Linked DNA regions of Schizosaccharomyces pombe. Changing the gene in region 4 together with the main gene of any one other region gives a genetic interaction. Each region holds a gene or a part of one and is shown on either strand. Other genes may lie near its edges. The genes, in order: bzz1, aip1, myo1 and wsp1.

The links.
Region 1: of wsp1 (region 4) and bzz1, a mutation in one rescues a mutant of the other (synthetic rescue), as found in Schizosaccharomyces pombe (one study listed by BioGRID).
Region 2: of wsp1 (region 4) and aip1, a mutation in one rescues a mutant of the other (synthetic rescue), as found in Schizosaccharomyces pombe (one study listed by BioGRID).
Region 3: mutations in wsp1 (region 4) and myo1 are lethal when combined (synthetic lethality), as found in Schizosaccharomyces pombe (2 studies listed by BioGRID).

What each region holds. Positions count from the first base shown.
Region 1 is NC_003423.3:2,464,212-2,469,346, forward strand, and holds bzz1 (diacylglycerol-binding protein Bzz1), read left to right. Parts: upstream 1-1,816; 5' UTR 1,817-1,961; coding exon 1,962-2,000; exon of another isoform or gene 2,001-2,044; coding exon 2,045-2,071; exon of another isoform or gene 2,072-2,125; coding exon 2,126-2,189; exon of another isoform or gene 2,190-2,240; coding exon 2,241-2,361; exon of another isoform or gene 2,362-2,439; coding exon 2,440-3,476; exon of another isoform or gene 3,477-3,522; coding exon 3,523-3,879; intron 3,880-3,922; coding exon 3,923-4,187; intron 4,188-4,255; coding exon 4,256-4,274; 3' UTR 4,275-4,528; downstream 4,529-5,135. Other genes in the region: ATP-dependent RNA helicase Dbp5, read right to left, coding at 136-1,647; SPOM_SPBC12C2.04 (NAD-binding dehydrogenase family protein), read right to left, coding at 4,850-5,135. UniProt on the Schizosaccharomyces pombe protein: Plays a role in endocytosis and trafficking to the vacuole. Functions with type I myosins to restore polarity of the actin cytoskeleton after NaCl stress.
Region 2 is NC_003424.3:1,974,927-1,979,820, forward strand, and holds aip1 (actin cortical patch component Aip1), read left to right. Parts: upstream 1-1,930; 5' UTR 1,931-1,975; coding exon 1,976-2,080; exon of another isoform or gene 2,081-2,141; coding exon 2,142-2,265; exon of another isoform or gene 2,266-2,335; coding exon 2,336-2,437; exon of another isoform or gene 2,438-2,477; coding exon 2,478-2,523; exon of another isoform or gene 2,524-2,629; coding exon 2,630-2,675; exon of another isoform or gene 2,676-2,724; coding exon 2,725-3,666; exon of another isoform or gene 3,667-3,712; coding exon 3,713-4,135; 3' UTR 4,136-4,283; downstream 4,284-4,894. Other genes in the region: translocase Oxa101, read left to right, coding at 359-387, 453-1,203, 1,280-1,624; cytokinesis protein Cyk3, read right to left, coding at 4,438-4,894.
Region 3 is NC_003423.3:1,023,463-1,029,879, reverse strand, and holds myo1 (myosin I myo1), read left to right. Parts: upstream 1-1,906; 5' UTR 1,907-1,949; coding exon 1,950-1,952; intron 1,953-1,996; coding exon 1,997-5,647; 3' UTR 5,648-5,917; downstream 5,918-6,417. Other genes in the region: coatomer beta subunit Sec26, read left to right, coding at 1-764; monooxygenase Coq6, read right to left, coding at 6,025-6,417. UniProt on the Schizosaccharomyces pombe protein: Type-I myosin implicated in the organization of the actin cytoskeleton. Required for proper actin cytoskeleton polarization.
Region 4 is NC_003424.3:4,860,695-4,865,654, reverse strand, and holds wsp1 (actin assembly factor), read left to right. Parts: upstream 1-2,147; 5' UTR 2,148-2,206; coding exon 2,207-2,422; exon of another isoform or gene 2,423-2,507; coding exon 2,508-3,848; exon of another isoform or gene 3,849-3,898; coding exon 3,899-4,031; exon of another isoform or gene 4,032-4,090; coding exon 4,091-4,125; 3' UTR 4,126-4,402; downstream 4,403-4,960. Other genes in the region: SPOM_SPAC4F10.16C (P-type ATPase), read left to right, coding at 1-1,071, 1,118-1,694; btf3 (nascent polypeptide-associated complex beta subunit), read left to right, coding at 4,423-4,468, 4,627-4,960. UniProt on the Schizosaccharomyces pombe protein: Has a role in regulating actin assembly, so regulating polarized growth.

The DNA.
Region 1 (5,135 bases), on a different chromosome or scaffold from region 4:
AAGTGAGATTACGTTCTCTTTCGGTAGTTGATATGCAAAAAAACCAGTGAAATACCAGCATAAGTAAATAATATTCCTTTAGTAATTGGTACCAAGAAACCTATGTATTAAATAATCTCTAAAAATCAACATGCTTTACATTTTAAGTGCATTCTTGACAACTTTTTCAAGCTCTTCGTAGTCATCTGTAGGCACTCGCGTGATGGGACGTTGGAAGTATTCTTGAATGGCGTTCATTTCTTCCCAACTCTTTTTATCGTGAACAAAATTGATACTTACTCCAACACGGCCGAACCTACCGGTACGACCTATACGGTGAAGATATGTTTGTGGATCGGGTCTTCCTGCTTGATCTAAAGGCATATCATAGTTTACAACCAAGTTGACTTGCGATACGTCGATACCCCGAGCAATTACATTCGTAGTAACCAAAACCTTTGAAGTACCTACTCGGAATGAATCCATAATAGCGTCACGTTGTGCACCTTCCAGATTACCGGTAAGACAAGCAACAGTGTGTCCATCTGCAGTCATACGCCTAGCAATTTCTTCAGCGGTATCCTTTTTCTTACAAAATATAATTGATTGACCAATAGTCAATAACCCATATAATTCCACTAAAACATTATATTTATGTTCTTCACTTTGGCAATCCATATACAACTGCTTGATTCCCTCAACAGAAAGCTCCTCAGTCTTCAGACGAATTTCATTAGCATTGGGAGCAAAACGTTCAGCGTACTTTTCAACGCGTTCCGAAAAGGTAGCACTGAAAAGAACAATCTGAGTGTTTCTAGGAAGAAGGTGCTTGATACGCATAGATTGATCTCCTAATCCTTGCTGATCTAACATGTTGTCTGCCTCATCTAACACGAATACTTTAATATCGCGAGCGTCAAGCTGTCTTCTCTTCATCAAATCCATCACAGTGCCAGGCGTTCCGATTACAATTTGAGCATCGATTTTTGCACCTTTAGGGACGGAGTCTTTAATACCAAAAGCTGTTTTTACTTCAGTATATTTGCCCATCTCCGTCACGACATCCATAATCTGACGGGCCAATTCACGAGAAGGAGCGAGGCAGATAGCTTGAGGTTTGGGAACAGAAGCATCAACACGAGAAAGCATCGTTAATGCAAATGCAGCGGTTTTACCAGTTCCGGATTGTGATTGTCCGATCATATTGCGAGGAGGATTTGAGAGTAAAAGTGGAAGCGCCTTCTCTTGAATTTTTGAGGGTTTTTGGAATTTCATTGAATAAATTCCCTTTAATAATTCGGGCTTGAGCTCCAACTCTTCAAAACTTTTAACAGAAAAAAGAGGTGAGTTTGGATCAGCCTGTAGATCTGCTAATTTTACACGAACCTCGTTTTTATTTGGTATTAAATTAGATTCATCATTTTCAGATTGCTTCGTATTGGCGTCCTCTGCAATCGTGTTGGTCGCTTTGTCTTGCTCAGATTTTGCATCAACATTCTCAGTGATTTTTGGACCTAATCTGTCACTTAAATTTGTTGCTTTTTGATCTTCATTTTTATTTTCTGAAGTATTTAACTGATTGACTTTATCACTAATTCTTTGAACCTCTTCATCAGAGTCCAAACTAGCCCAGTCAGTTTTGCTTTCCTGTCCCAGTGTAGTTGACATTTTGGATGTTTTTTAGTAAAAAAAATAAAAAAAATCAAATTTATAGTTCAGATATCCAAACTCAGCAAGGATGACTTAGCAAACTGGATGACAATTTCTGGTGGGCAATGTAGTTGGTGATTGCTAAGTTACTCCTTAAGTGAAAGTTGAACAATATAGGTTTCGATTCACCACCGTACTTCCTTTTCATCAACATTCGTAACGTAAAGCCAAAAATTGTCACAATTTCTTCCGTCAAACTTTCTTTTTAATTGTTTTATATCCGGTACAAATTTTTATTGCAGCGATATCAAACGTGTAGATAATACTGGATAATGAGCCTGGAAACATACAAATTTAGTGATGAACTTCACGTAAGGTGTTTTAGTTATTTGGCATATTTACTAATATATAAAAGGACGATTTTAAAGTTGTCGACAGTTGGGTATGCCAAGAATGAAAATGAAGACAGTTCAACAATTAACACATTGTAACAAAGATTAATAATGGCGCGAAATGGCTTGAAGATATTCAATTGTACTACAAAGAAAGAAGTTCTATTGGTAAATAAGAAACGACAATGGTTAAATTTCAATGACTAACTTTGTTGCTAGAAAAAGAATATGCTCAGAAATTAGCCAGTCTTTCGAATAAATATGGGGAGAAGAAATCCAGAAAATCATCAGCCCTTTCAGTCGGAGATACTCCGGCAATGTCTGCTGGCTCTTTAGAATGGTATGTAAAATATTGGAACCTGTCAAGCAATTGAAGTTAGATGGATATTGAATTCCTGTTCACAGGCTAATTTTATAGTGCTTCTTTAACAACATGGTCTAAAATTTTGGATGAGTTAACGCGCTCATCAAAAACTCATCAAAAGCTATCCGATGACTATTCATTGGACATTGCTGAAAAACTGAAGAAACTAGAGTCTCATATAGAGGCTTTAAGAAAAGTTTATGATGATTTATATAAAAAATTCTCATCCGAAAAGGAGACATTGTTAAACAGTGTGAAGAGAGCCAAGGTCAGTTACCATGAGGCCTGCGATGATTTAGAAAGCGCAAGGCAAAAAAACGATAAATATCGAGAGCAAAAAACTCAAAGAAATTTAAAATTATCTGAAAGTGATATGCTCGATAAGAAAAATAAATACCTACTTCGTATGCTTGTATACAACGCCCACAAGCAAAAGTTTTATAATGAAACTCTACCAACGCTCCTTAATCATATGCAAGTATTGAACGAATACAGGGTTTCGAATTTAAATGAAATATGGTGTAACAGCTTTTCAATTGAAAAGTCTCTCCATGATACCTTATCCCAAAGAACCGTTGAAATTCAATCAGAAATTGCAAAAAATGAACCAGTCCTTGATTCTGCCATGTTCGGAAGGCACAATTCAAAGAATTGGGCACTTCCTGCTGACTTGCATTTTGAACCTAGTCCTATCTGGCATGACACGGATGCACTGGTGGTGGATGGTTCATGTAAAAACTACCTCCGAAATTTACTGGTCCACTCCAAAAATGACCTTGGAAAACAGAAAGGCGAGCTTGTATCGTTAGATTCACAATTGGAAGGTTTACGCGTCGATGATCCAAATAGTGCTAACCAGTCATTTGAATCTAAAAAGGCTTCGATAAATCTAGAAGGGAAAGAGCTCATGGTAAAGGCCAGAATAGAAGATTTAGAGGTTCGTATCAACAAGATCACGTCAGTTGCGAATAATTTAGAAGAAGGAGGTCGTTTTCATGATTTCAAACATGTTAGTTTTAAACTTCCGACAAGTTGCAGTTACTGTCGTGAAATTATTTGGGGGTTATCGAAGCGTGGATGTGTTTGCAAAAGTACGAAATATTTGCTTTCTTTCGTTAACTAACAAAACACGTGTAGATTGTGGCTTCAAATGCCATGCAAGGTGTGAACTTCTTGTTCCCGCCAACTGCAAAAATGGTGAGCCCGAAGTGGCCGACGATGATGCTGTAGATACCAGTGTTACTGCCACTGATGATTTTGATGCTTCTGCGTCGTCTTCAAATGCCTATGAATCCTATCGTAACACATACACAGATGATATGGATTCAAGTAGTATTTATCAAACTTCCTTAAGCAACGTGAAAACAGAAGAAACAACGCCTGCTGAACCAGCGTCAAAGGTTGACGGTGTAGTTCTTTACGATTTTACCGGGGAACATGAAGGGGTAATCACAGCTTCTGAAGGACAGGAATTTACGCTACTTGAACCAGATGGTAAGTAAAGCTTGAAAAATCCCATTCTAATAGATCAATATAGATGGCTCTGGTTGGGTTCGAGTAAAAATCGATGGAACTGATGGCTTGATTCCAGCTTCTTATGTTAAATTGAATGATGAATTAAATACGAGTGTGACACTTGATGGAGATTCTTCTTATGTTAAGGCGTTATATGCATACACAGCTCAATCCGATATGGAATTATCAATCCAAGAGGGTGATATAATTCAGGTCACAAATCGAAACGCTGGAAACGGATGGTCTGAAGGGATACTTAATGGAGTGACCGGTCAATTCCCAGCTAAGTAAGTCTTTGTTTTTTTTTTTTATTCATTTCTCCATTTCTTTGCACAAAAACTAACATATGTCTTAGTTATGTTACAGATGTATAAACCATTGAAATATCTATATGAATATTATCTACTTCATTGTTGATAAATTTTACCTTCTTTATGTATTACGAAAAGCAAATTGTCAATAATAACTTACGATTTTTTATCCACTACAATGTAGTTGGTCGATACACCAAAGTATTTTTTTGCTAGATTGATCTTTTTTTTTTTGAATTTTAGATATTTATAATAACTATACTAAATGCTATGCCTAAGGAAAATTTTTTAAATTGAACTATGCTATATTTTTTTCGTTAGTAACCAAAATTTATGTTTACTGAAGAATACAGTTTCGCGTTACGAGAAAATTGATCAACAATTTTTTAACGAATACATACAAACACATTGTCATTACAACAGAGAGGAATCGAAGGATGTGATATGTCATCGTACATTTTCAAAAGTAATCTGCAAATTGAAACAAACATATAAACGACATGTGATATTGGAACTAAGTCTAAAAACATTCCCGATAACGAAGGGAAAACTTTCATGAAAGGTAACGAAAAAGAGAAAAAAGCCAAAATGGTGAAAATATAAGGAAAAAAAAGTTGTGTGTTCAATTCTTCTATACTTTAATTATTCGTAATGATCTTCGTCAACTCGTATGTCTTAGCGCCGTCGTCAAACTTGGACAAAATGCGGCTAGGAGGATATCTGCCCTGGACAACACCCAAGAAAGCATCAAATTCATTATAATAGGGATCATCTTCGGGGAAATTAATAATGCGTTCGCTATCAGCCTCAGGAGAACGAATGTAAAGTCTGGGTTGACCGTAAAAGTCAACCATACGAACATAATGACCATCTGCTTGAAGCTCTAGACAAGTGTCATAATTCGTTCCTTGTAAAATGATACTA
Region 2 (4,894 bases), 2.9 Mb from region 4:
TTCAATTCTCTCTATGTATTTCTTTTGTTGTTATTTTGCTAACATTTATTTGGTTCTAAATAGTCAAACTGTCGTAATAATATGCACATACCATGAAAAATCCAGAAACTTAATGAAATGCAACACGTTCGTTTGGGCGAAATATTATCAAATAAAAAAAAAAAAATAAAAAAATAAAAATCCAAACAATAAATGTATATCATTGATTTAACACAAGCACCTTGTCCACTTAAATCCACCCGTATAAGAATATGAAGGACGACTTAACTTCTCCCGATCGTATAATATATATTATCATATGGACTAATCTATTTTTGAAGACTAGTTAATCTCGAATTATAAACTATTAGTTGAAGCAATGTTACATTTTCTAATTAGACCTTCAACGTAAGTGTTTACAAAAAAACTATAAAAACTTGATATATTGAATGCTTGGTAATTGACCAATTTAGGCGATGCGCTGGAAGCCCCCATTTTAACTCCACTTCTAGTTTTCTGAGAAAAAGATTACAATCTAAAACTATTCTATCAAAAAGATTGGGGTTTCAATTTCGACCCTCTTCTACCAATGTACTCGCTGAAGTTAGTACAGCTACTTCTGGGTTCAACCCATCGTGGTGGCCTTATGCTCTAATCCAAAATACTGCTTACACGATTAATGTATATGCAGGAGCTCCTTGGTGGGTTTCTATCATACTCACAACTTTGGGGGTTCGTTTGGCCCTTACTCCAGTTATGATAGCTTCATTTCGTAATAGCACGAAGCTGTCCGTTATACAGCCTGAGATGAAAAAAGAACTAGAGGCGATTAAAACAGCAAAACTGGATAATGATCAGCTTGCTTTAAATCAACATAGCATTGCCTTGCGAGGCATATATTTAAAGCACAATGTTAATCCTTTTGCTATATTTATTCTTCCTTTGACCCAGAGTGCCGTTTTCTTTAGTTTTTTTTATGCAATTAGAAAGATGTCTCGTTTGTCGGTAGACGGTTTTACCACTGGAGGACTTGCATGGTTTAAAGATTTGTCAATACCTGATCCTTATTGCATTCTTCCCATTATTAATGCCGGACTTATGTTTTCTGGAATGCAGATGAATCGTGCAAATACTGCATCTACTATAGGGAATTCTACCAACTGGAGAACTTTTTTCTTTTTGTGCTGTCTTTTAAGCCCTCTCTTAACTGCTAAACTTCCAGCCGTACGTGAATTTTCAAAATAGTCAAATCTGTTTTAAGCCTTTATCTTAGAAGAATAACTAACCAAAGATCAAATAGGCAATATTTATGTATTGGATACCCAGCAGTCTGTTTAATATAGTGCAAGGTTATATTCTAAAAAATCCCGTTGTTCGAAGTAAACTTGGCTTCGCTCCGCTACCATCAATAATAGAAAAGCAACCTTCAGGCTTTACTTTGATTACAAACCCTATTAAATCCTTAAAAGAGTTTTACAAAGGAGTTCGTGACGGTTTTAAAACTCAGTATGAGCAATTGCAGAAGGATGTATCAAGACGAGCTGTTGCTACTACTTCAGCTTCAACCATTCGACCTAATTCTCATTATAAAAAGCTCAAGGAACTTAACCGTAGTAAGAAAAATTCAAAGAAGCAAAGTAACTGATATTTTAATTTTGCTTAAATTTTTTTCATGATATCTACTTCTTTAATTACTCATCAATTTTCATTTTGATATTCATGTTCGTTAAAGTCATATTGTACTGTTTTAGGTTATTATTTGACCGCATTAGTATAAAAACGTTCTTCTGTGTATTGTTGCAAAAAGTGATTTCTACGGTAGTATTAAAATTAATCCCTATATAAATCATATATTCCAATGACATGTACTGCTAAAGTATACGCCTCTTTAATATGGTAATCTGTTGCTCGTTTCATTGTCAAATATCTCCTAGTAGCACGCTCCATCTGCATAGAACCACATCTTCGCTACTTACAATAAATTAAAAACAGAGCAATGTCTTCTCAGTTAAAATCAACTTGGGCGCCAGTTCCTTCAACAAAACCTTCACAGCCTTGTAAAATTGGCACTGATTTTAAAGGTGAAAGGATTGTTTATCCCGTAAGTTTGTCGAATCCGTATGAATTGGTCGATTAAAGAACATTTACTAAATAGTTTTTAGGCTAACAAAGCGATAATAATTCGTGAAATTGAGAAACAGGAAAACTGCTTTCAATATAATGAGCATACTGCTCCTACAACTGTAGCACGATTTAGCCCTTCTGGATATTATGTAGCTTCTGGCGGTACGAATGCTAATTATTGCTATTATTTCTTAAGTTTTTATTTTTAAACGTTACTAATGATCAACTATAGACAATCAAGGTAACGTCCGCATATGGGATTGTGCTGGAGAAGATAAAATTTTAAAGAACCAAGTTACTGCTATTAGCGGACGAATTACTGATTTAGACTGGGGTAAGCCTGTTCAAGTTTCAATATGCTAATTGATGAAAAGACGGAGACAGTCAGAGAATAATAGCTGTTGGTGAGGGTAAAGAGCGGTAAGTGATTTCTATTGTTTTCGAAGGATGTGTTAAATTATTGGATTTACTCATAATTTCAAAAATTCCAATATTTGTTGACTCTTGCTAATCTTACTTTTAACAGATATGGACACGCGTTCACCGCTGACTCTGGTAATTCTGTTGGTGAAGTAAGGGTTTTATTAGTCTCCAACTTCCTTAAAATGTTAACGGTTACAGATTTTTGGACATTCGAGCGTAGTGAATGCTGTTTCTTTGCGCAAGAGTAGACCGTTCCGTGCTGCTACTGCATCTGATGATAATTCCATCAATTTTTTTCACGGTACTCCTTATAGATTCAACCGAAGTTTACGCGTTCACTCCAAATTCGTTTATGATGTCCGTTACTCTCCTAACGATGAAAGATTTGCTTCAGCTGGAGCCGACGGTAAGGTTTATGTTTTCGACGGGAAAACAGGAGATCAGGTCTATGAAATTGATGCTCATAAGGGGTCCATTTTCTCTATTTCTTGGTCTCCAGATTCATCTCAATTTGTCACATCTTCTGCGGGTTACAGTTGCAAAATATGGGATGCTAATACCGGCTCCCTAATTCGCGAATGGCTTTCGTCGGACAAGAAGCAATTAGTTGGAACAGTTTGGCCAACTAAAGACCTAATAATAGTTGTTAACTCAAAGGGAAACTTAACATATCTAAATCCTTCGGACTGTAAGGTAATTGATACAATTTACGGACACCAACGCTCTATCACTGCCGCTACACTTTCACCTGATGCTACCCATTTTTATACTGCCTCATATGATGGTACTGTTCTTTCATGGGATATCGGCAAACAGAAAGCATTCCCTTTGGTTGGTGAAAGTCATACCAATCAAGTCATGCAAATGATAATGGCTGATGACCATGTTATCACCATTGGCATGGATGACACGTTAAGGGTAATCGATATCAAGCAAGGGTGTTTCGCGAAAGATAATGTTTTTCCAACTGGCTACCAACCTATTGGCGTATGCTCGGTTGAAGACTGTTTGATTTTGGTAACGGTTTCGGATATCCAAGTCCTCCGTAGTCTTACTGGTGTTTCTACAGCCAAGACTATTTATCAGCCTAGCGCAGTTGCTTCGCATCCCTTAAAAAGTGAATTTTGCGTTGGAGGGGAGGTATGATACCATATTTTAATTTCCATATAATTATTGACTTTTTTAGGACTGTTGTGTATACATCCATACCCTTGAAAAAGGTGAGCTTTGTGAAGTAGCTCAATGCAAAGATTCAACAGCACCGATTACATGCTTAGCTTACTCTCCGGATGGAAAGTATCTTGCATGTGGTGATGCCTCAGGGAAGGTTGTACTTTATGACGCCAATTCTCGGGAAGTTATTACTTCTCGCTGGGCGTTTCACACTGGCCGTATTCTAGGAATGTCGTGGAATGCAAAATCTACTCATTTAGCGACCGCTTCATTAGACACCAACATTCACATTTATTCAGTAGAACGACCCATGAAATATATTGCGATGAAAAATGCTCACTCATTGGGAGCTACCCAAGTTGAATGGGTTTCTGAAAATGAGCTTTTAAGTACTGGAAGTGATGCTGCAATCAAAGTATGGTCAGTGACCTTTTGAATTCGTAGTACAATTCTCATTTTTTGCAAGATTTTAATAAAAAAATTTTTTTTGTAAGATACTGTTAGCTTTTCTGATGCCATATCTAATAGTTAAAACTTTCTCATTATTATAATCATTAAAATTAAGAAACAAAGGGAATACAGTTAAGCTTGGACATCACGATTCCAATAGTAATAGATATATATTAAAAACATTAAATGAATAATGACTTAGTTGTAAACATCAACCTTCAATATTACACAGAACAGACATTATTTATAGGAAAATTTATAGGATAAAGTCGCAAGATTTGAAATTATTTAAACCGCCTGCCAGGTTGCATAGACTACCCATCTTCCTATCTTTTCAGCCAAAATTAAAGCTCTGTATTCTCCTGTTTCATTAATTGTTAAGGAAAGGCTGAAAAAAATAACGCCATTTCCAGATCGTTCTTCTCTTAAACGCACAATGTTTCCCGTCGGGGTCTGTATTGCTAATCTGGTATTGCTAATGGAGGTAGATGGCTGGCAGGCATAGGCCGAAACATTAAATTTGTATTCAACACCAGAATGCAATGTACCACATTGGGGGGAATTAATATACAAATCAACCGATGGACAATGTGGTACAGGATGACGAGTCACAAACTCTAGAGCTTTATTTTTGCCATGATGTACAAATGGAAGAGACATTGCCATAGGATGAGGTGCAGTCCTCACGGGACTAGAGACTCCTAAGCGACCAGCGTATATCCTTAGCACCGCAGCACGATTATTA
Region 3 (6,417 bases), on a different chromosome or scaffold from region 4:
AGCAGGATCTTAATTTTGAGTCCGACATCATACAAGCCACCAACGATGGTATGGTAGTGGAAGATTTGGCATCTAAATTAGATCATATCGTACAATTAGCCGGTTTTACAGATCCTGTTTACTGTGAGGCATATGTGAAGATACAACAATTTGATATTATTCTAGACATATTATTGGTTAATCGAACGGATACCACGTTACAGAATCTCTCTGTTGATTTGGCTACGTTGGGAGATCTTAAGGTTGTAGAGCGTCCACCACCCATGAATTTAGGACCTCATGCCTTTAAATCTGTTCAGGCTACGGTAAAGGTATCTTCAACGGAGTCTGCAGTAATCTTTGGAAATATCGTGTATGGTGGTAAAGCATCCGACGAAGACAAAATTGTTGTTTTGAATGGCATTCCAGTCAACATTATTGATTATATAAAACCCGCATTCATTCCCGAATCTCAATTCCGTAGCATGTGGACGGAATTTGAATGGGAAAACAAGGTCGATATTTCTTCCAACGAAGACATTAGTCTGTACGATTTCTTACATAAAATAATGAAGAAAACCAATATGAACTGTCTTACTCCAGACGCGTCTCTGCGTGGTGACTGTGGTTTTTTGAGTGCTAATTTGTACGCCTGCAGTATTTTTGGGGAAGACGCACTTATGAGTCTTAGCGTTGAAAAATCCGTCTCCGGTCCTATCTCAGGACATGTTCGCATTCGTTCAAAAACTCAAGGCATTGCCCTTAGCTTGGGTGCATTTGTTTAGAGTAGAATTATATAAGGAATGTTATCCACTCTTTAAATTTCTTGATGGATTAAATTCACAATGGGAAAGCTGTTATGGATGCTGATTTAGTAGGTATATCATGTGTCTAATATTTCGCTAAATCGATATCTGATACGCTGTTTTATTACTCTTGTTGTAAATACCTTTCCTGCCGTTCTTTATTTAGCTCCTTATGATATTTCTACGATTTCGCAATTAAAAGGAGCCTGCCTTGTCATGTTCTCACTACTTGATATCCTGACATTACTAAAGTTGTGTACCTTGTATTTCTCTGTAACAGGCAAGTAGATTAGCTTTCATCTCGTGCATTTAGTTTGGTATTATATATAAACCCCGTTATTTCAATTAATTATGGCACTCACAAACGTTGTCTATAAATCACTGTTTGTATTCTTTTATAAATGATATAAACAGATGATTATGTTTAAGTTACTGCAAATCATATAGCTTCTCTCATATTGTGTTACATCCTAATATCTGTAATAAGTTAATTGTCATAGAATATACTCAAGGTCAATACGAGAACTACAGTTGTATTTGCTGGGGAATTCAACCTTTTATGTCGCGTTATAATAATCTGCGGCTGCTTTGGTTCTTGAAACGGCGATAGCCGTTATATCTAAAATACTTCAAAACTTCTCGCTTTATGAAAGGTATCTTCGACTTAAAATATTCATAATTGAAAATTCATGTTCATTTAATTCATCTTATCGACTACATGAACACACAATAATCAAATCAAGTATTAACTAATTCAAGCGCGTTATGTTTATCACTTCATCATAATTAGTCGCAAATTTCATACCTTTAGTGTGTTCGTTACCTTACCTAATGAAGTTACCCTAAAACACATTTGGATAAGTTTCGTTCGAGTATGTTACATAACAAGCCTCTTTCGGCTAGGTAATTGTTTTAATGTCAATACCAAAAATGGATGAAGCAAACGACAGAAAGCTAAAGTATATTCAATTTTCAGCTAAAGTACAATTTTAATAATTGGGGTCTGAAGTTTCGAACGGTCTTTGGCAATATTGACCTAGAAACTCATATTTCGCTCATTTTAACGATCCGTAACGCAATTATCTCAGTATTAGAAGAAACCTACACGTAAGTGCGGACTTGTCGTTAACCTATCTCTTGTTCGGCCATAAGTGAATAGATTTTATGGTAAGTAAATATGCATGCCGAATGTTAGCTAATTAATAAATTAGGCCATCCTTAAGAGAACAAACCGCGCGAAAGCTGCGACTGCAGCTGCTCCCAATAGCACTGGGAAAAGCAATGGTATTAAAAAGGCTGTTTATACCAGCACACGCAAAAAGACTGTGGGTGTTGATGATTTAACCCTACTTTCGAAAATTACAGATGAGGAAATTAACAAAAACTTGGAACTGAGATTTCGCAATGGAGAGATTTATACATATATTGGACATGTGTTGATTTCTGTAAATCCATTTCGAGACCTGGGTATTTATACGATGGATATTTTGAAATCATATCAAGGAAAAAACCGTTTGGAAACGAGCCCTCACGTTTATGCAATTGCTGAGAACGCTTACTATCAAATGAAGTCTTATCATGAGAATCAATGTATTATCATTTCTGGTGAATCGGGTGCTGGTAAGACTGAGGCTGCAAAAAGGATCATGCAATATATTACACATGTTTCAAAGTCCGTTGGCACTGAAATTGAAAGAGTTTCCGAAATTATTTTAGCTACCAATCCTTTATTGGAAAGTTTTGGTTGTGCAAAAACTCTTCGCAATAATAATTCTTCTCGTCATGGAAAGTATTTAGAAATGATTTTTAATTCCGGAGGTGTTCCTGTCGGCGCTAAAATTACGAACTACTTATTAGAAAAGAACCGAATTGTTAATCAAGTTCGCAATGAGCGTAATTTCCATATTTTCTATCAATTCACCAAGAGCGCTCCTCAGAAATATCGTGATACATATGGCATTCAAGGTCCGGAGAATTATGTTTACACTTCTGCTTGTCAATGTTTGTCGGTTGATGGGATTTCAGATGAGAAGGACTTCCAAGGAACGATGAACGCCATGAAGGTTATTGGTATCACCGAGCCGGAGCAAGATGAAATATTTAGGATGCTTTCTATCATCCTTTGGTTAGGAAATATTCAATTTCAAGAAGGCCAAGATGGTGGTAGCGTGATTTCTGACAAGAGCATCACCGAATTTTTAGGCTATTTGATCGGTGTTCCTGTTGCGGCTATTGAGCGTGCCTTGACAATTCGTATTATGCAAACTCAGCATGGTGCAAGGCGCGGATCTGTATATGAAGTCCCCTTAAATCCAACACAAGCTTTGGCTGTTCGTGATGCTTTGTCTATGGCGATTTATAACTGTCTTTTTGATTGGATTGTCGAACGTGTCAACAAAGCTTTGGTCACATCAGACAACAGCGTTTCCAATTCGATTGGTATTTTAGATATTTACGGCTTTGAAATCTTTGAAAACAACTCTTTTGAACAATTGTGCATTAACTATGTTAATGAAAAATTGCAACAAATTTTTATAGAACTTACTTTGAAAACTGAACAGGAAGAATACGTGCGTGAGCAAATTGCTTGGACTCCTATCAAATATTTCAACAATAAAGTTGTATGTGATTTGATTGAATCCAAACGACCTCCTGGTCTTTTCGCAGCAATGAACGACGCTATCGCTACCGCTCATGCTGACTCTGCTGCGGCGGATAGTGCTTTTGCTCAGCGGTTAAACTTTTTATCCTCCAATCCACATTTTGAACAGAGACAAAATCAATTTATAGTCAAACATTACGCTGGTGATGTAACCTACAGCATTACAGGAATGACCGATAAGAATAAGGATCAGTTAGCAACTGATATTCTTAACCTTATTCATTCTTCCAACAACGAGTTCATGAAATCTATTTTCCCAGTGGCTGAAGAGAGTAACTCCCGTCGTCGTCCTCCTACAGCTGGTGATCGTATCAAAACTTCTGCTAATGATTTAGTAGAGACTCTTATGAAATGTCAACCATCGTATATACGTACGATTAAACCCAATCAGACTAAGTCGCCTAACGATTACGATCAGCAGATGGTTTTACATCAAATCAAATATTTAGGTTTGCAAGAAAACATTCGTATTCGTCGTGCTGGTTTTGCTTATCGTCAAGCTTTCGATACGTTTGCTCAGCGTTTTGCAGTTCTTAGTGGTAAAACCAGTTATGCAGGAGAATACACTTGGCAGGGTGATGATAAGTCTGCTTGCGAACAGATTTTGAAAGATACCAATATTCCTTCATCTGAATACCAAATGGGTACTAGCAAAGTTTTCATTAAAAATCCGGAGACCTTATTCGCGCTCGAAGACATGCGTGATAAGTTTTGGGATACAATGGCAACCCGTATACAACGTGCTTGGCGTTCTTATGTTAGAAGAAGATCTGAAGCTGCTGCTTGTATTCAGAAGTTGTGGAATAGGAACAAAGTTAACATGGAACTTGAACGTGTTCGTAATGAGGGTACTAAACTTTTGCAAGGTAAAAAGCAACGCAGAAGATATAGTATTTTGGGATCCCGTAAGTTTTATGGAGATTATCTATCAGCTTCAAAGCCTAATGGTACTCTATGGAACACATGCGGCCTCTCTCAAAACGATCACGTAATTTTCTCAATGAGATGTGAGGTCCTTGTTCATAAGCTAGGCCGCACTTCCAAACCTTCTCCTCGTCAACTGGTTCTTACCAAAAAGAATTTATATTTGGTGATTACAAAAATTGTTGACCAAAAGCTCACACAACAGGTGGAGAAGAAGTTCGCTGTATCTTCCATCGATTCTGTTGGTCTTACAAATTTGCAAGATGATTGGGTTGCAATTCGTAATAAGTCCAGCCAAAATGGAGATATGTTTTTGCGATGCTTTTTCAAAACAGAATTTATAACTACCTTAAAGAGAATCAATCGTAATATTCAAGTTATCGTGGGTCCCACCATTCAATACTGCCGAAAGCCTGGCAAGGTACAAACTGTTAAGACGGCAAAAGACGAAACCACTAAGGATTATGACTACTACAAGAGTGGAACTATTCATGTTGGTACTGGCTTGCCTCCTACCAGTAAGAGTAAGCCTTTCCCTCGCTTAGCAACTGGTGGTAGTACAGCAGCTGCTAGAGGGCCTCGCCCAGTTGTGCAGAACAAACCTGCTGCTACAAAGCCCGTATCTATGCCGGCTGCGAAGAGCAAACCTGCTCCTATGGCTAATCCCGTAAGTACTGCTCAACAAACCCAAAATCGTCCCCCTGCTCCTGCTATGCAAGCTCGTCCTAATACAACTCAAGCTGCAGCCCCAGTTACAAGTACGACTACAACTATTAAGCAAGCAACCACTGTTTCTGCTTCTAAACCAGCTCCTTCCACGGTAACTTCTGCAGCTTCTTCTCCAAGCAATATCTCTAAACCCTCTGCTCCAGTTGCTAATAACGTCAGCAAGCCTAGTGCTGTTCCTCCTCCTCCTCCTCCTCCTCCCGCTGAAGTCGAAAAGAAAGACTTGTACTTGGCCTTATATGACTTTGCGGGACGCAGTCCAAATGAAATGACTATCAAGAAAGACGAAATTATAGAAATTGTTCAAAAGGAGCCAAGCGGGTGGTGGCTTGCTTTAAAGAATGGTGCTGAAGGATGGGTTCCCGCAACCTATGTGACAGAATACAAAGGTTCTACACCTCAAACCACCGCTTCTTCGACTAATGTTGCAGCTCAAGCGAATAATAATGCTAGTCCAGCTGAAGTCAACAACTTAGCTGGTTCACTTGCTGATGCCTTGCGCATGCGAGCATCAGCTGTGCGTGGTAGTGATGAAGAAGAAGATTGGTGAGCTTTCATTATGATGTATATATAATACGGCCAGTACATTGCTTGATTCTTAATTTGCAATAATGAATGGCTTGTGACAACTATAGTCTCTCCTATCGCATGTTTTTTAGCTATCAATGAAAGCTTCTAGTATTTGCTTCTTGCATGTTTTATTGTGATAGATTGAGAATACTCTTCGTCGACGACTTTGATTAAGCAAAGCTAAATAGTAATTTAATTGTGAAATATAGTTGATACATTGCATAGCGTATACTTATAAATGGGACAAAAGTGATAGCTTCTGTAATAATATTAAAATCATTATCTTGTTTATTGTTTGAATAAATTAGTCAGCTCCAGTGGTAAAACGTAAATATAGTATAGTAGACTTCGACAATACTAAATTCCATTAGCTACCGTAGAAAGAATGAAGTTTTTCAAGCTAGCACTGCGATCAAATAATGAAAGTCCAAGGGTTCGTACAGAAGTGACCACCGGATTTTCCATTGCGTACAGCTTGTGGAACTTATCAACGACTCCTAGATAAACATGGTTTTTGAAGTAACGGTCACGGAAATACGGTTGGAGTGAAAAAACACTACCAATATCCTGACCGTGCTTGATAGCAAAAGAGAGTGCTGATATTAAAGATTCAACATCCTGAATTCCAGTATTTAATCCCTGTCCAGCTAATGGATGAGTGTTATGAGCAGCGTCCCCGCAAAGGGCAATTCCTTCTTTTACATATTCATCAACATGGGCAAGTCTCAACGGAAATGCCGCCCTAGAACC
Region 4 (4,960 bases):
AGGATTTCGTACGTTATGTATCGCTCGTCGAACTATTGATAAGCAAGATTATCTTGAATGGAAAGTGAATTTCAACGAAGCTAATAGTGCCATTCATGAACGGAACGAAAAGGTCAGTAAAGTTTCAGAGATGATTGAGCAAGAGCTTGAATTACTCGGTGGAACAGCAATTGAAGATAAACTTCAAGAGAATGTACCAGAAACTATCGCTCTTTTGGCTATTGCTGGAATTAAGTTGTGGGTGTTGACTGGTGATAAGGTAGAAACGGCAATCAACATTGGGTATTCATGCAATCTTCTTGATCCAAACATGACTATTTTTCGAATTGATGCAAACTCTTTCGGTGCCTTAGAAGAAGTAGAAGCTTTTATTAGAAACACATTATGCTTTAATTTTGGATACATGGGAACGGATGAAGAATTCAGATTTTTGTTGAAAGACCACAGTCCGCCATCTCCGAAACACGCCATAGTTATTGATGGGGATGCCCTGAACTTTGTTTTGTCTGAACAGGTCTCTTTTCTTTTTTTAATGTTATGTAAGCAGTGTAAGACAGTTTTGTGCTGCAGGGTTAGTCCCTCTCAGAAGGCAGCTGTTGTTGCTTTAGTCAAGAAGAGTCTAAATGTTGTCACTTTAGCAATTGGAGATGGCGCTAATGATGTTTCGATGATTCAAGAAGCCGACGTTGGAGTAGGGATAAAAGGCGTTGAAGGGCAAGCAGCTTCAATGTCGGCGGATTATGCCATCGGTCAATTTTCTTTCCTAGGGCGACTACTTCTAGTTCATGGACGATGGGACTATAAAAGAATGTCTCAAATGATTTCATTCTTTTTTTACAAAAATGTTATTTGGACATTTATACTTTTTTGGTATCAATTTTATAACGAGTTTGATGGAAACTACATATTTGATTATACCTACGTGATGCTTTTTAATCTGCTGTTCACATCACTACCCGTAATTATTGCAGGTTGTTTTGACCAGGACGTTGACGCATCTGTTTCAATGAAAAATCCAAGCTTATACCAACGGGGAATTTTAGGTCTAGAATGGAACGGAAAGAGATTTTGGTAAGTATAACTCTGAAGATTTCTGTTTGCTAAATATTTATTTTAGGTCTTACATGCTAGATGGAATATATCAATCATTGGTATGCTTTGGGGTAGCTCTATTTGTTTTTAAGTTTGGTGATTTTGTAAGTTGGACTGGAAGGAACATCGAGTGTATAGAAGACATAGGACTTTTTATATCCTCTCCTACTATTTTTGTAATCAACATTTTTATATTGATGAATCAAGAGAGATTGAATTTAATATCACTTATTACTTGGATGTTCAGCATAGGTGTATTTTGGATATGGACATTTATTTATTCAGAAGTTGGCCCCTCTTACGCTTTCCACAAATCAGCTTCGCGAACTTGTCAAACTTTTGGCTTTTGGTGTGTTACTGTTTTAACCATTGCCTTATGTTTGTTGCCTCGCTTTTCCTATATTTGCTTACAAAAATTGTTTTATCCTAGAGATATTGACCTTTTACGGAGACGACTTTGTGCAAAGTCAGATGATGAGACTAGCAGTAGTTCATCATTTGCAACAGATATAGAAATGTGCGAACAATGTAACGACCCATTAAGTTCGAAAAAAAATTCCGGTATTGTTACTTCAGTTTCATTCGATGATTCTAATAAGTAGCCATACATCTGAGTTCGCACTGTTTGTTTATGTAGTTATACTACTCCTACCGGACGAGAGTCTTTTTATTATCCTCAACATCACGAATGACTTTTTCTTAATGTTCCCTTTTTTTTCTAATAATTAATGATTATGATTAAGTCATTTTTTTAATAATCTTATAATAAACTAACATTATGAGACAAGCAAACTTCGTATGGTTGAATAAATTTTATTTACCTCTTTACAATGAGGACGATAAGTATGTAGAATGTAAAAAATATTAAACCCGAATTAATGTCTCAAGTTTTATTAATCTATAAACAGTTAATATAATTAGCAAAATTTACCAGCTGCTAATAAGTGCGTTGCAAATTTTTATAGTACATAGCGTAGTATAGTATACTACACTAATTATCACTCATTGGCTTGTTAACTACAGTGAAAATGCTAACAAACGGGAGGAACCAAAACACCACTTATACCACTGTGAGACAGCAATTTTTGAATTGCATTACAATCCGAAAATTCAAATGCCTCCATCTTCCTCTATAACTCAAGAGGATAAGGCAACTATCCGTAAATACATACCTAAAAGCACAAATAAAATCATTGCAGCAGCCGTCGTCAAGCTATATGTAGCTTATCCTGATCCGAACAAATGGAATTATACAGGTCTTTGTGGTGCTCTTGTATTGTCCTATGATACAACAGCAAAATGCTGTTGGTTTAAACTGGTTGACGTTGTGGTATGTGTATGAAGCTTTGATACTCAAAGCAAACTACAAAGAGTGGTATACAATTTAATTGAATTATAACCTTCTAACGTTTTAGAATAATAGTGGTATAATATGGGACCAAGAGCTTTATCAAAATATGGACTATCGCCAAGATCGTACATTTTTTCATTCTTTCGAGCTTGATAAATGCCTAGCAGGTTTTAGTTTTGCAAACGAGACAGACGCTCAAAAATTTTACAAAAAGGTTTTAGATAAAGGTTGCCATCCTGAATCAATTGAGAATCCGGTTTTGTCATTTATTACCAGAAAAGGTTCTTCTAGACATGCGCCTAACAACAGCAATATCCAACCTCCCTCAGCTGCTCCTCCTGTACCTGGAAAGGAAAATTATAATGCTGTTGGATCTAAAAGTCCCAATGAGCCCGAGCTTTTAAATTCGCTTGATCCGAGCTTAATTGATTCTCTAATGAAGATGGGCATTTCCCAGGATCAAATTGCTGAAAACGCAGATTTCGTCAAAGCGTACCTTAATGAATCAGCTGGTACACCTACCAGTACTTCTGCACCTCCCATCCCTCCAAGCATTCCTTCCTCTCGTCCCCCAGAGCGTGTTCCTTCTTTGTCTGCACCTGCTCCTCCCCCAATTCCACCTCCATCTAATGGAACTGTCTCTTCTCCTCCTAACTCCCCTCCCCGTCCTATCGCTCCTGTTTCGATGAATCCTGCTATTAATTCCACCTCGAAACCTCCACTCCCTCCACCATCTTCAAGAGTCAGTGCGGCAGCTCTAGCTGCTAACAAAAAACGACCTCCTCCGCCTCCGCCTCCATCCCGTCGTAATCGTGGTAAACCACCGATTGGTAATGGTTCTTCTAACTCGTCTCTTCCTCCACCTCCACCACCTCCTAGATCTAATGCTGCTGGCTCAATTCCTTTGCCGCCTCAAGGTAGATCTGCTCCTCCTCCACCTCCTCCAAGGTCTGCTCCTTCCACTGGGAGACAACCACCCCCTTTATCTTCATCTCGTGCAGTTTCAAACCCACCAGCCCCTCCTCCAGCTATTCCTGGTCGTTCTGCGCCTGCACTTCCCCCTCTTGGTAATGCATCACGAACAAGCACACCTCCTGTCCCTACACCTCCTTCTCTTCCTCCTAGTGCACCTCCATCTTTGCCCCCCAGTGCACCACCTTCTCTACCTATGGGCGCACCAGCTGCTCCCCCCCTACCACCTAGTGCACCAATTGCTCCTCCTCTACCCGCTGGTATGCCAGCTGCTCCACCATTGCCTCCCGCTGCACCAGCTCCTCCTCCAGCTCCAGCTCCTGCGCCCGCCGCGCCTGTTGCTTCGATAGCTGAATTGCCTCAACAAGACGGCCGTGCTAATTTAATGGCCAGTATCAGAGCCAGCGGTGGTATGGATTTACTGAAAAGCAGGGTAAGTATTGATATTATTACTTAATGGTTACTCGTACTAATATTTTCCAGAAAGTATCTGCTTCTCCTAGTGTCGCATCTACAAAAACTTCGAATCCTCCGGTAGAAGCACCCCCTTCTAACAATCTTATGGATGCATTGGCAAGCGCTTTGAACCAACGTAAAACCAAAGTCGCTCAGAGTGGTATGTCCGGATTTCTCGTATTTTTTTTCAAAAGTTCTTAAGTTTACTAATTCTTTCAGACGAAGAGGATGAAGACGACGATGAGTGGGACTAGTTATTAATATCTTTGAAATTACCTATACTTTTTTGATTCACACAGTCTTTTAAAGTTTTGTTAAACGACTTCACTATTTTTATTTGGATTTGTGTTTATTGTATTAGAGCAAACACCATTTATTCTAAATTGAATAACGCGAATTTGTGTTGATATTACTATTCATATATCGCAACACAGTGTGTATCTTTACTTTATTGTAAGTATGGGAGCAGTCACACATTTCGGTACCACAACTTTAGAAACGTCAAGTTCAAGTCCTTCCACAACCAAAAACGTTTGGTCAAATAGAAACAAATGGATCCCTCCAAATTGGCTAAGTTGCAGGCTGGCGCTCGTATTGGTATGTTCGAATGCATCCCCGTGTTTTGAAGTTGACACCAGCTCTAAGAAATGCCTTGAACGGTTTCAAAGTGGTTCCACTGTAATTGATGCTGGCTATTGAAAACACAGTTGTACTTTTTTCATAGAGAACTGCTTAATTAACTTATCATTGTATAGGTGGAAAGGGTACCCCTCGTCGTAAGGTGAAGAAGCCTTCTAAGTCTGCCATGAGTGCTGCTGATGACAAGAAGGTTCAAGGTGCCTTGAAAAAGTTGAATATGCAAAACCTTGCTGGCATCCAAGAGGTTAACATGTTCAAGGAAGATGGCGGAGTCATTAATTTCCGTGCACCTACCGTTCATTCCTCGCTTCCTAATGAAACTACAGCTATCTATGGTAAAGCAGAGGAAAAGACTTTGTCTGAGATTTTGCCTGGCATTTTGAACAACCTTGGTCCTGAATCCTTGACTGCCCTTCGTCAAATGGCTGAGCAATTAAAGGTCAGTGAAGG